2 linked regions of the Saccharomyces cerevisiae S288C genome follow. The protein of the gene in region 2 interacts with the protein of the main gene of each other region in a pairwise test. Each region holds a gene or a part of one and is shown on either strand. Other genes may lie near its edges.

Evidence for each region.
Region 1: the proteins of ERP1 (region 2) and ERV29 interact in binary tests that used the Saccharomyces cerevisiae proteins (3 or more experiments, as listed by UniProt).

The regions. Positions count from the first base shown.
Region 1 is NC_001139.9:1,057,724-1,065,628, reverse strand, and holds ERV29 (protein ERV29), read left to right. Parts: upstream 1-4,038; coding exon 4,039-4,971; downstream 4,972-7,905. Other genes in the region: BIO2 (biotin synthase), read left to right, coding at 689-1,816; ZUO1 (zuotin), read left to right, coding at 2,476-3,777; UPA1 (putative methyltransferase), read left to right, coding at 5,589-6,614; BGL2 (glucan 1,3-beta-glucosidase), read left to right, coding at 6,905-7,846. UniProt on the Saccharomyces cerevisiae protein: Constituent of COPII-coated endoplasmic reticulum-derived transport vesicles. Required for efficient transport of a subset of secretory proteins to the Golgi. The C-terminal di-lysine motif is required for exit from the endoplasmic reticulum.
Region 2 is NC_001133.9:152,388-160,019, forward strand, and holds ERP1 (Erp1p), read right to left. Parts: upstream 2,338-7,632; coding exon 1,678-2,337; downstream 1-1,677. Other genes in the region: FG-nucleoporin NUP60, read left to right, coding at 1-1,489; COMPASS subunit protein SWD1, read left to right, coding at 2,618-3,898; replication factor A subunit protein RFA1, read right to left, coding at 4,367-6,232; tRNA splicing endonuclease subunit SEN34, read left to right, coding at 6,579-7,406. UniProt on the Saccharomyces cerevisiae protein: Involved in vesicular protein trafficking.

The sequences.
Region 1 (7,905 bases), on a different chromosome or scaffold from region 2:
AATTACAAAATATACAATTGTAAAACGGCTTAATAGAAAGACATTAGTAGCCCTTGGTCATTACCTTCATATTCAAATAAGCTAATGATCAAATAAAAAAGCCCAACGATATTGCCTGTTGCATCTAAAATTTTCCAAGTCAAACGAGTTCATATTATATACTATGTATGGAATATATATATATAATTTTTCATTTTATTTTCAAAAAATGCCACTGCGCAAATCTCTGTCCATCAGTACTGTTCTTTACAATTTTATCGTGGGAAGTTGCGGAGGGGCGTGTTGGCTAGCAAAAGATAGTCATGTCGAGATGACTCGCGGATGAAGTCTCGCGTCTTCTTCGAAGCCATTTTGCCGGCATTTGGTTATGGAAAAAAGTTGTTGAAAAGTGCAAAGCATTAGAACCGTCCCTGTCACGCTGGTGCCCCCACAGATTTCACGTGAGAGACGATGCCTGAGGAAAATCCGCTACGCTGCTGCCTAATCTGTATTTACAGGCTATGTAGTTCGTTTGCCACTCTGCTAGATTCTCTTGGTATCTTTTATTTCTTCTCTTAGGCAGATCTTATATAAAAGGGCAAAGCTTTTTTTGCTCCCATACTTGCTGAAAATTTTTCAGATCTTACTCTTCTGGTAGTGGTGTCCTCAGAAGAGCTAACTTAGCCGATTATTTTCAATTTAGTGCAGTATGATGTCTACTATCTACCGTCATTTATCTACCGCTAGACCGGCTTTAACTAAATACGCAACCAATGCCGCAGTTAAATCGACAACTGCATCCTCAGAAGCTAGTACTCTGGGTGCTCTACAATATGCATTGTCTTTAGATGAACCAAGTCATTCGTGGACAAAATCGCAATTAAAAGAAATTTATCATACCCCACTGCTCGAACTTACTCATGCAGCACAATTGCAGCACAGAAAGTGGCACGATCCAACCAAAGTGCAATTGTGCACATTGATGAACATCAAATCTGGTGGTTGTTCTGAGGACTGTAAGTATTGTGCGCAGTCTTCGAGAAACGATACCGGTCTAAAGGCTGAGAAAATGGTTAAAGTGGATGAAGTGATTAAAGAGGCAGAAGAGGCCAAAAGAAACGGATCTACTAGATTCTGCCTAGGTGCTGCATGGAGAGACATGAAAGGTCGTAAATCAGCCATGAAAAGAATTCAGGAAATGGTGACCAAAGTGAATGATATGGGGCTAGAAACGTGTGTTACTTTAGGTATGGTTGATCAAGATCAAGCAAAGCAATTGAAAGATGCAGGTTTGACTGCATACAACCATAACATCGACACTTCCAGAGAACACTATAGTAAGGTCATCACCACGAGAACCTACGACGACAGGTTACAGACCATCAAGAATGTCCAAGAATCTGGAATAAAAGCCTGTACCGGTGGTATTTTGGGTCTCGGTGAAAGCGAAGACGACCATATAGGATTCATCTACACATTATCCAATATGTCTCCTCATCCTGAGTCCCTACCAATTAATAGACTAGTTGCTATCAAAGGGACTCCAATGGCTGAGGAACTTGCCGATCCAAAGAGTAAAAAGTTGCAATTCGACGAAATTTTGAGAACCATTGCCACAGCGAGAATAGTTATGCCAAAGGCCATTATAAGACTTGCCGCTGGTCGTTATACAATGAAAGAAACAGAGCAATTTGTCTGTTTCATGGCAGGTTGTAACAGTATCTTCACCGGTAAGAAAATGCTGACGACAATGTGTAACGGTTGGGACGAAGACAAGGCAATGTTGGCTAAATGGGGATTGCAACCTATGGAGGCATTTAAGTACGACAGATCTTGAAGATAGGGATATGTGGATAATTCTACGATTCTAACTGTACATTTCTCCCTTATTTATTAAGAAAACCTATATATATATATATTTACCTATTTATTCTGCCATCGTTAGCTGGCGTTTTATCTTTTATGCATCCAATATCTAATATTACTTCCGATCACGCATTTAGTTCTGATTACAGCAGAAATCGTAGCGCGATGAGACATTTCATCAAATGGCCTTTTTTTTTTGGGCAATTTTTTTATATCTTGAAATGATAGTTGCCTTGTACTTTCAACCGTTCATTTCATTAAGAACTTGACTAAATATGAACATTTCTTAAAAAAAAGGTTGACATATAAAAATAATCGAATATAAACGATGGAATTTTTATAAAATTAAACACATATATATATATATATTAACTATAAATATGTCAAAGAAACCATACAATCATAGATTTATAACTATCTTTTGGATGACATTAATGAACATAACGCTCCTAATACAAATGTCCAAAAAATATTACCCGCAAATACGAATCTTTTTTTTTTCTCGATGAAATTTTGCAAAGAGTTCGAAATTTTTATTTCAAGAGCTGGTAGAGAAAATTTCATAAGGTTTTCCTACCGATGCTTTTATAAAATCTTCGTTTTGTCTCACATATACCAACAAGAGTAACGATGTTTTCTTTACCTACCCTAACCTCAGACATCACTGTTGAAGTCAACAGTTCCGCTACCAAAACCCCATTCGTCCGTCGTCCGGTCGAACCGGTTGGTAAGTTCTTTTTGCAACATGCTCAAAGAACTTTGAGAAACCACACCTGGTCTGAATTTGAAAGAATTGAAGCTGAAAAGAACGTCAAAACCGTTGATGAATCCAATGTCGACCCAGATGAGTTGTTATTCGACACTGAATTGGCCGATGAAGATTTACTGACTCATGATGCTAGAGACTGGAAAACTGCCGATTTGTATGCTGCTATGGGTTTGTCTAAGTTGCGTTTCAGAGCTACTGAAAGTCAAATCATCAAGGCTCACAGAAAACAAGTTGTCAAGTACCATCCAGACAAGCAATCTGCTGCTGGTGGTAGTTTGGACCAAGATGGCTTTTTCAAGATTATTCAAAAGGCCTTTGAAACTTTGACTGATTCCAACAAGAGAGCTCAGTACGACTCATGTGATTTTGTTGCCGATGTTCCTCCTCCAAAGAAGGGTACCGATTATGACTTTTATGAAGCTTGGGGCCCCGTTTTCGAAGCTGAAGCTCGTTTTTCTAAGAAGACTCCTATTCCTTCTCTAGGTAACAAAGATTCTTCCAAGAAGGAAGTTGAACAATTCTATGCTTTCTGGCACAGATTTGACTCCTGGAGAACCTTTGAGTTCTTGGACGAAGATGTCCCAGATGACTCTTCTAACAGAGACCACAAGCGTTACATTGAAAGAAAGAACAAGGCCGCAAGAGACAAGAAGAAGACTGCTGATAACGCTAGATTGGTCAAACTTGTTGAAAGAGCTGTCAGTGAAGATCCCCGTATCAAAATGTTCAAAGAAGAAGAGAAGAAGGAAAAGGAAAGAAGAAAATGGGAAAGAGAAGCCGGTGCCAGAGCTGAAGCTGAAGCTAAGGCCAAGGCCGAAGCTGAAGCGAAGGCTAAAGCTGAATCTGAAGCCAAGGCTAACGCCTCCGCAAAAGCTGACAAAAAGAAGGCTAAGGAAGCTGCTAAGGCCGCCAAGAAAAAGAACAAGAGAGCCATCCGTAACTCTGCTAAGGAAGCTGACTACTTTGGTGATGCTGACAAGGCCACCACGATTGACGAACAAGTTGGTTTGATCGTTGACAGTTTGAATGACGAAGAGTTAGTGTCCACCGCCGATAAGATCAAGGCCAATGCTGCTGGTGCCAAGGAAGTTTTGAAGGAATCTGCAAAGACTATTGTCGATTCTGGCAAACTACCATCCAGCTTGTTGTCCTACTTCGTGTGAATACCGTAAGAAATGGAATAGAATATATACGAATGTATACGAATATTATAGAGAACGTTCTCTTTTATTTCTATAATGAATAGGTTCGGGTAACGGTTCCCTTTTTAGGTATTTCTAGAAGATGAGAGAAGAGGGAATAATGAGAAAGGCGAAAAATAAAGGACACCTTTAACGAAAGATCAAAGGTGTCCTTATTTACTTACAATAGCTGCAATTAGTACGACTCAAAAAAAGTGAAAACAAAACTGAAAGGATAGATCAATGTCTTACAGAGGACCTATTGGAAATTTTGGCGGTATGCCAATGTCATCATCGCAAGGACCATACTCTGGCGGTGCACAATTCAGATCAAACCAGAACCAATCCACTTCTGGCATCTTAAAGCAATGGAAGCATTCTTTTGAAAAGTTTGCCTCCAGAATTGAGGGGCTCACTGACAATGCAGTTGTTTATAAATTGAAGCCTTACATTCCAAGTTTGTCAAGATTTTTCATTGTGGCCACCTTTTATGAAGATTCGTTTAGGATCTTATCACAATGGTCAGATCAAATTTTTTATCTGAATAAGTGGAAGCATTACCCATACTTCTTTGTCGTTGTGTTTCTAGTGGTTGTTACCGTTTCCATGTTGATTGGCGCCAGTTTGTTAGTTTTAAGAAAGCAAACCAATTATGCCACCGGTGTGTTATGTGCTTGCGTTATTTCTCAAGCATTAGTTTATGGGTTGTTTACGGGTTCATCATTTGTCCTAAGAAACTTTAGTGTTATTGGTGGGTTGTTAATTGCATTCAGCGATTCAATTGTTCAAAACAAGACAACATTCGGTATGCTTCCTGAATTAAACAGCAAAAACGACAAAGCGAAGGGTTACCTGTTGTTTGCTGGTAGAATTTTAATTGTTTTAATGTTTATCGCTTTCACTTTCAGTAAATCATGGTTTACTGTTGTTTTGACCATTATCGGCACAATATGTTTCGCCATTGGTTACAAGACAAAATTCGCATCCATTATGTTGGGTTTGATACTAACTTTTTACAATATCACGCTAAACAACTACTGGTTTTATAACAATACTAAGAGAGATTTCTTGAAGTATGAGTTTTACCAGAACTTAAGCATCATTGGTGGGCTTCTATTAGTTACTAATACTGGCGCTGGTGAATTATCCGTTGATGAAAAGAAGAAGATTTACTAGATTGTAAAGGAAATCTTTTCTTTATGTCCCTTCTGTTCACTCATCTTCTAACAATCTATTTCGTTTTGCCTTCTTGTGATCGCTTTCAATACCCTGCTAGCTCACATATATACTTTTCTTACTGTCATATCTACATAAAAGATTTCTTTTTGTATAGGCGCACTTAACGAAATTTGATTGGTCTCACGTTGGCTTGTATATTCTACCTTCAATCAATGTGGTTATATCGCACAGAATTCCCTTGTATTATGATAGAACTTATTTATTGTAATTAGTTTTGATTTGACCATTTTCGTTGGTCCGTAATTGTTTTACACTGTCACTGCTTAAATCATTGAAGAGATGCTCTTGAGATAGCATCCGCTCTCCTATCTTTCCAAAGAAACGCTTTAAAGTCGCTTTAAGCAATCTCTAAAGTTTAAAAATTCCTAATAAATAGCTCTTTAGCAACTATTGTAAACCGCAATAATGGGCACACCCAAACATATTATTTGAAATTTTTTCCACCTCATCGCTTGAAAACACCATGTTGAAATTGGGATATTAAGTAGAGGAGGTAATTGATACCAATGAGGTGAAACACATCTACCAAGGGAAGTGTAGCATAATAGGGGAAGATGGCAGTAAAACATAAATCCGAGAGCCTTAAGCACGAAGAGGGGGCTGCCAAAAAGGCAAAGACAGGCCTATTGAAGCTAAAAAAAATCATGGATATAGAATCTAATGTGGTCAAATATTCCATATGCATACCGACAACTGTTATCGACAATTGTAATAATTTGGAGCAAGTTACATTTACTGCATATCAAATAGCTCGGACAGCTGTATTGTTCAATGTTCAAGAAATCATAGTTCTAGACCAGTCAAAAGATAAAAAGCATGAAAAAAAATCAAGATCAAAGGAGACTATCTCTGATTGTTTATTACTTGCCACACTATTACAATATTTTGTAACGCCTCCAAACTTACTGGATACTACATTCAAAAAAAAAAACAAGTTATATTTAAAGTGTGCATCTACCTTTCCGCCATTGAACCAGCTACCTTTTATGAACGCATCTGCCGAACAACACTACAAGGAAGGCTTATCAATCGCACGAGATAGCTCAAAAGGTAAATCTGATGATGCTCTAACAAATTTGGTGTATATAGGAAAGAATCAAATTATTACGTTATCTAACCAAAATATTCCCAATACTGCGCGTGTAACAGTTGATACAGAGCGCAAAGAAGTAGTGTCACCCATAGATGCTTACAAAGGAAAACCACTCGGCTATCATGTTCGAATGGCAAGCACTTTGAATGAGGTGTCCGAAGGTTACACAAAGATCGTTTGGGTCAACAGTGGTGACTTCCACTACGACGAAGAGTTGTCAAAGTACCACAAGGTAGAAACAAAGCTACCATACATCGCAAAACTGAAAAAAAGTTCAACATCAGAAAAACCCTGTAATATCCTGCTTATCTTCGGGAAATGGGGCCATTTAAAACGTTGTTTCAGGAGATCTGACTTAGAATCCTCTTCTTTGCATCATTACTTTTCTGGTCAACTGCAATTCCCTGCTTCCGTACCCCAGGGAAATATACCCATTCAAGATAGCCTACCCATAGCTCTTACCATGTTTCAGCGTTGGGCAAGTTGAAATAAATAGCAATTAATAACTGATATTACTATTTATGTTATATAATCATCGTTTTCTACGGATATGCAGTTCTATTTTTAGTAAAAGAAACGTTAAAATTTTTCTTTCAGTTTTTCGCCCTGAAAAAGAGAAAAATGTCACGAAGAAAACAAGAGGATATTTGTTTATTTTGATTTTAACTGCCTCCTTATAAAGAAACTTTTCCTCATTCACAATTTGGACTTCTTCTTGTTTTTTTCAATATAAGTTTATTGAGATAGACAACTAACCAAAAAGAAAAACGGTCAAAGATGCGTTTCTCTACTACACTCGCTACTGCAGCTACTGCGCTATTTTTCACAGCCTCCCAAGTTTCAGCTATTGGTGAACTAGCCTTTAACTTGGGTGTCAAGAACAACGATGGTACTTGTAAGTCCACTTCCGACTATGAAACCGAATTACAAGCTTTGAAGAGCTACACTTCCACCGTCAAAGTTTACGCTGCCTCAGATTGTAACACTTTGCAAAACTTAGGTCCTGCTGCTGAAGCTGAGGGATTTACTATCTTTGTCGGTGTTTGGCCAACAGACGACAGTCATTACGCTGCTGAAAAGGCTGCTTTGCAAACCTATTTGCCAAAAATTAAAGAATCCACTGTTGCTGGTTTCTTGGTTGGTTCTGAAGCCTTATACCGTAACGATTTGACTGCCTCTCAATTATCAGACAAAATTAATGACGTCCGTAGTGTCGTTGCTGACATTTCCGATTCTGACGGAAAGTCATACTCTGGTAAGCAAGTCGGTACTGTCGATTCCTGGAATGTTTTGGTTGCTGGTTACAATTCTGCCGTTATCGAAGCTTCCGATTTTGTTATGGCTAACGCGTTCTCCTACTGGCAAGGTCAAACCATGCAAAATGCCTCTTACTCATTCTTTGATGATATTATGCAAGCTCTACAGGTTATCCAATCTACTAAAGGTTCTACCGATATTACCTTCTGGGTTGGTGAGACCGGTTGGCCAACTGATGGTACCAACTTTGAAAGTTCTTACCCATCTGTTGACAACGCCAAACAATTCTGGAAAGAAGGTATCTGTTCCATGAGAGCTTGGGGTGTTAACGTTATTGTTTTTGAAGCCTTTGATGAAGATTGGAAGCCAAACACCTCTGGTACCTCTGATGTCGAGAAGCACTGGGGTGTTTTCACTTCAAGTGACAATTTGAAATACTCCTTGGACTGTGACTTTTCATGAACGCTTTAAAAATACTCTTTAAACAAGAATGGCTTTTTCCTTCTGTTTAGGTGAGGAAT
Region 2 (7,632 bases):
TTCAGCCAGAGTGAGTCCAAGGAATAATGTTGCTAATAAACAACCACGCAATGAGTCTTTTAACAGAAGAATCTCAAGTATGCCTGGAGGTTATTTCCATTCTGAGATATCCCCAGATTCTACTGTAAACCGTTCCGTAGTTGTTTCTGCAGTGGGTGAAGCCAGAAACGACATTGAGAATAAAGAAGAGGAGTATGATGAAACACATGAAACTAACATCTCCAATGCAAAGCTTGCAAACTTTTTTAGTAAAAAAGGTAATGAGCCTTTATCAGAAATTGAAATAGAGGGTGTGATGTCATTGTTACAAAAATCAAGCAAATCCATGATAACTTCGGAAGGAGAACAAAAATCAGCCGAAGGTAATAATATCGACCAGTCGCTTATCTTGAAGGAGTCAGGAAGTACACCAATCAGCATATCTAATGCGCCGACCTTCAACCCAAAATATGATACTTCAAATGCGTCAATGAATACGACTTTGGGAAGCATTGGTTCAAGAAAATACAGTTTCAATTATTCTAGCCTGCCCTCACCATACAAAACAACCGTTTATAGATATAGTGCAGCGAAAAAGATCCCCGATACATACACAGCCAACACATCTGCTCAAAGTATAGCATCTGCTAAATCGGTAAGAAGTGGTGTTTCAAAGTCAGCTCCTAGTAAGAAAATAAGTAATACAGCTGCGGCATTGGTCTCACTATTAGATGAAAATGACAGTAAGAAGAATAATGCAGCTTCAGAACTTGCTAATCCATACTCCTCATATGTAAGCCAAATACGCAAACATAAGAGAGTTTCTCCAAATGCTGCACCAAGGCAAGAGATCAGTGAAGAAGAAACTACTGTTAAGCCATTATTTCAAAACGTTCCTGAACAAGGCGAAGAACCAATGAAACAACTGAACGCCACCAAAATTTCACCATCTGCGCCAAGCAAAGATTCTTTTACTAAATACAAACCTGCAAGGTCCTCATCCTTACGCTCAAATGTCGTCGTAGCTGAAACCTCACCTGAAAAGAAGGATGGTGGAGATAAACCTCCATCCTCTGCTTTTAACTTCTCGTTTAATACTTCAAGAAACGTTGAACCTACTGAGAATGCTTATAAGAGCGAGAACGCACCATCTGCATCATCAAAGGAATTCAATTTTACCAACCTACAGGCGAAGCCGTTAGTTGGAAAGCCAAAAACCGAACTTACAAAGGGCGATTCTACTCCCGTCCAACCAGATCTTTCGGTTACTCCTCAAAAAAGTTCATCGAAAGGCTTTGTTTTTAATAGTGTTCAAAAGAAATCACGGTCCAATCTTTCACAAGAAAACGATAATGAAGGTAAACATATCAGCGCCTCAATTGATAACGACTTTTCAGAGGAAAAGGCGGAAGAGTTTGATTTCAATGTTCCCGTGGTGTCTAAGCAGCTAGGAAATGGCTTGGTTGATGAAAATAAAGTTGAGGCTTTCAAGTCCCTATATACCTTTTGATAATGAAAATTTTAGCCGTGACATAATTACCGTATAGCCCAACTCAATACGTAAGTTTGTGTAAAATACCATTCCAAGATGATATTATTTAGTCATTTTTTTTCCACTTTCTCAAAAAGAAGGAATACCTTTAGCGGCTCTTATAAACTATAAATTTCTAGAAGATACATAAAAGGTTTTTAGTCTGATCATAAAATTTTTTGCTTAACAAAAAATTTGCCCAGGTGTTTCATTTGCCAGCCACAAGTAACAGCGAGAACAATTAATTGAATGACAATCCACCACATAGCACGAGAATTAACAGCTTCAGAGGCGTCTCTAAAGGTAGCTTCACGATCTCTCATCAATTTTTGCTCTCTTCTAATTTCGCCGATCTTGGAGTTTAGGACGTTAACCTTGGCATGTAGAATGTCAATAGTGGCTTTACCCTTAGAATCTAACTTTTCATCAGAGCCCACTTGGAATTCAACGTCAATCTTCGTTTTAGCCTTAATCAACCAGCCACCAGCTTCGGGCTGAATACAGATTTTATGTTCACCCGAATCAGACGCAAGGAAAGTTAAATCACCACTTGCTGAACCTTTCTGATGAACAACCAGGTGGTTATCATCAAAAGTTTCCTCAATATCAATCAAGACACCAAAATCTTGCGCACCAGCGTCTCTGTAATTTTGTAATTGGTCATCGTAAATTTGTGCCTTGTAAGTTGCTTGGAACAAAGTACCTTTAGACAATTCCTTGTGGAAGCACTTACGTTCAGCACCAGAAGTATAATAATAGAACGCAGTAACTTGAGCTGGTAAAACTAGACAGCAGGCAAAAACCTGTAAAAGAGAGGTTAAAAGCATGATTAGTAGAGAGATTGGTTACCTTTAAATACTTTTCCAAACTACAGAGGGAAGATAGAGTAAGTTTTGTATGTACACATTTCTGCTGATGTGTTTTTTTTTTTCAACTTATTACGCGATTCGTTTTTTTTTTACGGTAACAGAATACAGAATAAATTCACGTACAAAAATAGAGAATATATAAAATAATAGGTTGACGATTATATTGGATCTTCCCCTGGGGTTCAAGAGTCGAGACCGAGTCCTTTTAGTTTGTGTATATCAGCTGGTTCTTTTCGTTATGAACATCCTTTTACAGGATCCATTCGCTGTTCTTAAGGAACATCCTGAGAAGCTCACACATACGATTGAGAACCCTTTACGCACTGAATGTCTCCAGTTCAGTCCTTGCGGTGATTACCTGGCTCTTGGGTGTGCCAATGGAGCACTTGTTATTTACGATATGGATACGTTCAGGCCTATTTGTGTCCCAGGAAATATGTTGGGAGCACATGTTCGACCCATTACATCTATCGCATGGTCTCCAGATGGTAGATTGTTGCTTACAAGCTCTAGAGACTGGTCAATAAAACTGTGGGATCTTTCAAAGCCAAGTAAGCCTTTGAAAGAAATACGATTCGATTCTCCAATTTGGGGTTGCCAATGGCTGGATGCTAAAAGGCGGCTTTGTGTAGCTACGATATTTGAGGAAAGTGACGCATATGTTATTGACTTCAGCAATGATCCGGTCGCAAGCCTTCTCAGTAAATCAGACGAAAAACAATTGAGTTCGACACCTGATCATGGATATGTTCTTGTTTGTACAGTACATACCAAACATCCAAATATTATTATTGTTGGAACTTCAAAAGGTTGGCTAGACTTCTATAAATTCCATTCTCTATATCAAACAGAATGTATTCATTCCCTTAAAATCACGAGTTCTAATATCAAACATTTAATTGTCTCGCAAAATGGTGAAAGATTAGCTATTAACTGCTCCGATAGAACAATAAGACAATACGAAATAAGTATTGATGATGAAAACTCTGCGGTTGAGTTGACCTTAGAGCATAAGTACCAGGATGTGATTAATAAATTACAGTGGAACTGTATCCTCTTTAGTAATAATACTGCCGAATACTTAGTCGCTTCTACACATGGTTCTTCTGCACATGAACTATACATCTGGGAAACGACTAGTGGAACGTTGGTGAGAGTCCTGGAAGGGGCTGAAGAGGAGTTGATAGATATAAATTGGGACTTCTATAGTATGAGTATAGTGAGTAATGGTTTTGAATCTGGGAACGTGTATGTGTGGTCTGTTGTTATTCCGCCAAAGTGGAGTGCTTTGGCGCCAGATTTTGAAGAAGTAGAAGAGAATGTCGACTATTTGGAGAAGGAAGATGAATTTGATGAGGTCGATGAGGCAGAACAGCAGCAAGGACTAGAACAAGAGGAAGAAATAGCTATCGATCTTCGGACGAGAGAGCAATATGATGTTAGAGGTAATAACTTGCTTGTAGAACGGTTCACAATCCCTACAGATTATACGAGGATAATTAAGATGCAGTCATCATAGGTTTCTCTTCAAAAGGAGAAAGTTTAAATAGGCAACTGACACTGAAGAGGTATAGTCATGCCTACCGCGATTTCTTTGACACAGAATTGAAAAATTTTGCATTTTTTGGTAATTTCCTAATAATACGAAGTGCAATAATCTCACTTTGATAGGAGCACGTCATGATGGTAATTTCATACTACTGAACGTAAATGTTGAAGGTGAATTTGTAAAGCTTTGTTATTTGAAGCTGTACACCTAAAGGGCGGTAAATTGTTGGGTGTTAGTACCATGCCATTAATTAGAATTTGTTAGCATTTTTATTCATTTGTGCATTATGGGTTCAAATTCATATGACTGAACGTGTAGTTTCATATCCAGTCATCAAGAGATGCTGAACCGCCCTTCAAAAACTTGACGAAATAGAAGTTTTTTTTTTACATTTCTCATATGTTACATAGATTAAATAGTACTTGATTATTTGATACATTAAGCTAACAAAGCCTTGGATAACTCATCGGCAAGATAGTCGGCTTCAGCCCTGTAATTCAAGCTGTGTAGGTTAGCAACGGTATATCTAATTCTGCTTTGATCATTGTATGTATCCTCACGCGCTCTAATCCTAAAGTCATATTCGTTCATTTGGATACTTTGAGTAATTTTTGTGAATTCGTTGGGGTCTTCTTCCTTCAAAGACATTAATGTATTAGCATCAACACCCAATAATTGTTTAGCTTGGTCGTCAAATAAAGTGAGCCATAGTTGATTGGTTTCGTCAATAATTGATATTGTCAAGATGTATCTCCAATTTGGCCTTGCATTATTGGTGTCGCACTTCTCACATCTCCAAGTACCATCAGGCTGTTCCAGAACTTTCTTATTACAATTCTCATTAGAACAGGCAGGATATGCAAAATTATCAACTTTTAAGAAACTTATAGCAGCTTTAACACTAAAAAAGTCACCTTTCTCGCTTCTTCCTAGATTTTCAGCTTGAGCTCTAGCAATAGTAATACGCTGAGCAATGAATTTTGTTAAGCTAGCAGCCGATTGACCACCCATACCGGGTTCTTGCTTTAAAGTGATGAAGTTTGCGTTGCGGCCCTTGGAATCATACCAACCCTTTAAGGCATATGCCTCAGGAATTTCTGGATTCGGAATCAGGGTACTAGAAAATCCCATAGACAAAGATTTGCCACCAAAATCCGTCACACGAACACCTTTAATGGCAGCAACAGAACCTTCAGGAAGGTTGAAATCAAGGGCTTGCTGATTCCATAGGCCAACAGAGATAGAAAACCCAGAGTCGTCAACAATTGTGATGTCACGACGATCGAATTTCTTCCCAGCCCTTGAAGTTAGCTCAAAATGTGGGTTTATAGTTTGGATAATACCGAGGACGTCTACGTTGGAATTTACTTCCTGGTTCTGAATAGCATCTAGTTTGATGAAATTGAAATGGGTTTTCGGAACATTACTTTCATCGAAACATTCTTCTATAACAGTGTCTCTATCCAAATTCAGTTCATAAGGGTGTGTTAGATTAGTAAATTGGGGCTTAGCTGGTTGGAGTTTTGCCTTTGATACATAGTATACTTTGCCTTCTTGTAAAATTTCGTTAAATTTTGTAGCAAAATCATTAAACGCCGTGGCTCGGATTTCTCCAGAGGTATCCAAGAAGTTGACATTGAATAGTTTACCATCACCTCTTTGATTGTGCCACGTTTTAATTTCTCCCTTGTAGGAAACTCTTGCTTTGATAGTCCAAACGTTTTGGTATGGAGACAGTTGTTCGATGGCAAAAATTGGTCTGGTTTTTTGCGAATTAGGGTTTTCATTGGCGAATTTTCTCTCATTTGCATTCAAGTTTGAGTTTGAATGCAGCATATCAGGGACACCAGCATTGCTGGCGTTTGTTTGATTGGCAACATTACCACTGTCAGTTATATCTTCGTCTTTTAAGGTTTCATTTGGATGCTCTGAGAAATAGTTATCCAAAAAAGTACTAGTTTGGTTGACCATATCAGCACGCGACTGGACCAACTCAAAGTCATCTACTAAAAGAACGTATTTCTTTCTTTCCCTGACAATAGCAGGTTCTGCAATTATCACGCGAATGATATCACCCCTTTGTAGTTCCATTGACTGGAACTTGGATGCAGCTTGGTTTCTCAACAGAGCCTTCATATGGTAAATACCATCGGAAATCATGATCAAATTCTTTCTGTTGCTGTTAGCCCCATCAGATTTCCTGGTGTTATAAACTTGATAAACGCCACCGGTGGGATTATCGTACCTTTGCTTATTGGTGAAGATGCTATGAAAATCGCCCCTCGAAAGTTGAACACTGCTCATCTCTTGTAAGTATAATCTGGTCTTCTTGCTGGTTTCGCCTTTACCGTAATAAGAAGAGTGAATAGTTTTTGTTTTACGTGTAGAACTTAAAGTGATAACATTTGTTCAAGTAAACCTTTATGTTAGTTCACGCGTCTTTTGTCGCCTCGTCTAATTTTTACGCGTGACATTTTTCCAAGCAGAGATATTTTATTGAGCAGCGAAGAAGAGTTAGAGAATAAGAAAGTGATGCGATAAGAAATCCACCCAATTAGCATAGATCCTTTCGTATATGGCTGAAGAAGGTGGTACGCGCATAGCTATTAACATATATGCAAAAAGAACGGCAAAAGGCGAGGAGGTTTTTATGCCACCGCTAGTATTTGACATAGATCACATCAAACTTCTAAGGAAATGGGGTATTTGTGGTGTGTTATCTGGAACTTTGCCTACTGCAGCACAGCAAAATGTATTTTTGTCGGTACCTTTGAGGCTTATGTTAGAAGATGTGCTGTGGCTGCATTTGAACAATCTTGCCGATGTGAAATTAATAAGACAAGAGGGAGATGAGATTATGGAGGGAATAACATTAGAGCGGGGCGCCAAACTATCTAAAATTGTCAACGATCGTTTGAACAAGTCATTTGAATATCAGAGAAAGTTCAAAAAGGATGAACACATTGCAAAATTAAAGAAAATCGGTAGAATCAATGATAAAACCACAGCTGAAGAATTGCAACGGCTTGATAAATCTAGCAATAATGACCAGCTAATTGAATCTTCTTTGTTCATTGACATTGCTAATACCTCTATGATTTTAAGAGACATACGGAGTGATTCAGACAGCTTATCCCGCGATGATATCAGTGATTTGTTATTTAAGCAGTACAGACAGGCAGGAAAAATGCAGACCTATTTCTTATACAAGGCATTGAGAGATCAAGGGTACGTTTTGTCCCCAGGTGGACGTTTTGGTGGGAAGTTTATAGCATACCCTGGTGATCCTCTTCGTTTCCATTCACATCTGACGATACAAGATGCGATTGATTATCATAATGAGCCGATTGACCTAATATCCATGATAAGTGGTGCAAGACTAGGAACGACTGTGAAAAAACTTTGGGTCATAGGCGGTGTTGCGGAAGAGACAAAGGAAACTCATTTCTTCTCAATAGAATGGGCTGGATTTGGTTAAGCTGGGAATCAGTCATGTATAATTATTTTCTCAGAATTTATGTATTTATAAGGTTTTTCAGAAGCATACATATGTGTAATACAATTTTTAAATTTGCATTGATATTTTGATGCATTCAGCGGGAAAGTAGTTGTTTATCACTAGACATATAATTATGTTTATTTATATTTAGTGGGAGCAAAACAGTTTATTGAATGTTTACCAGAACCGAAAAAAAAGCTCTTCT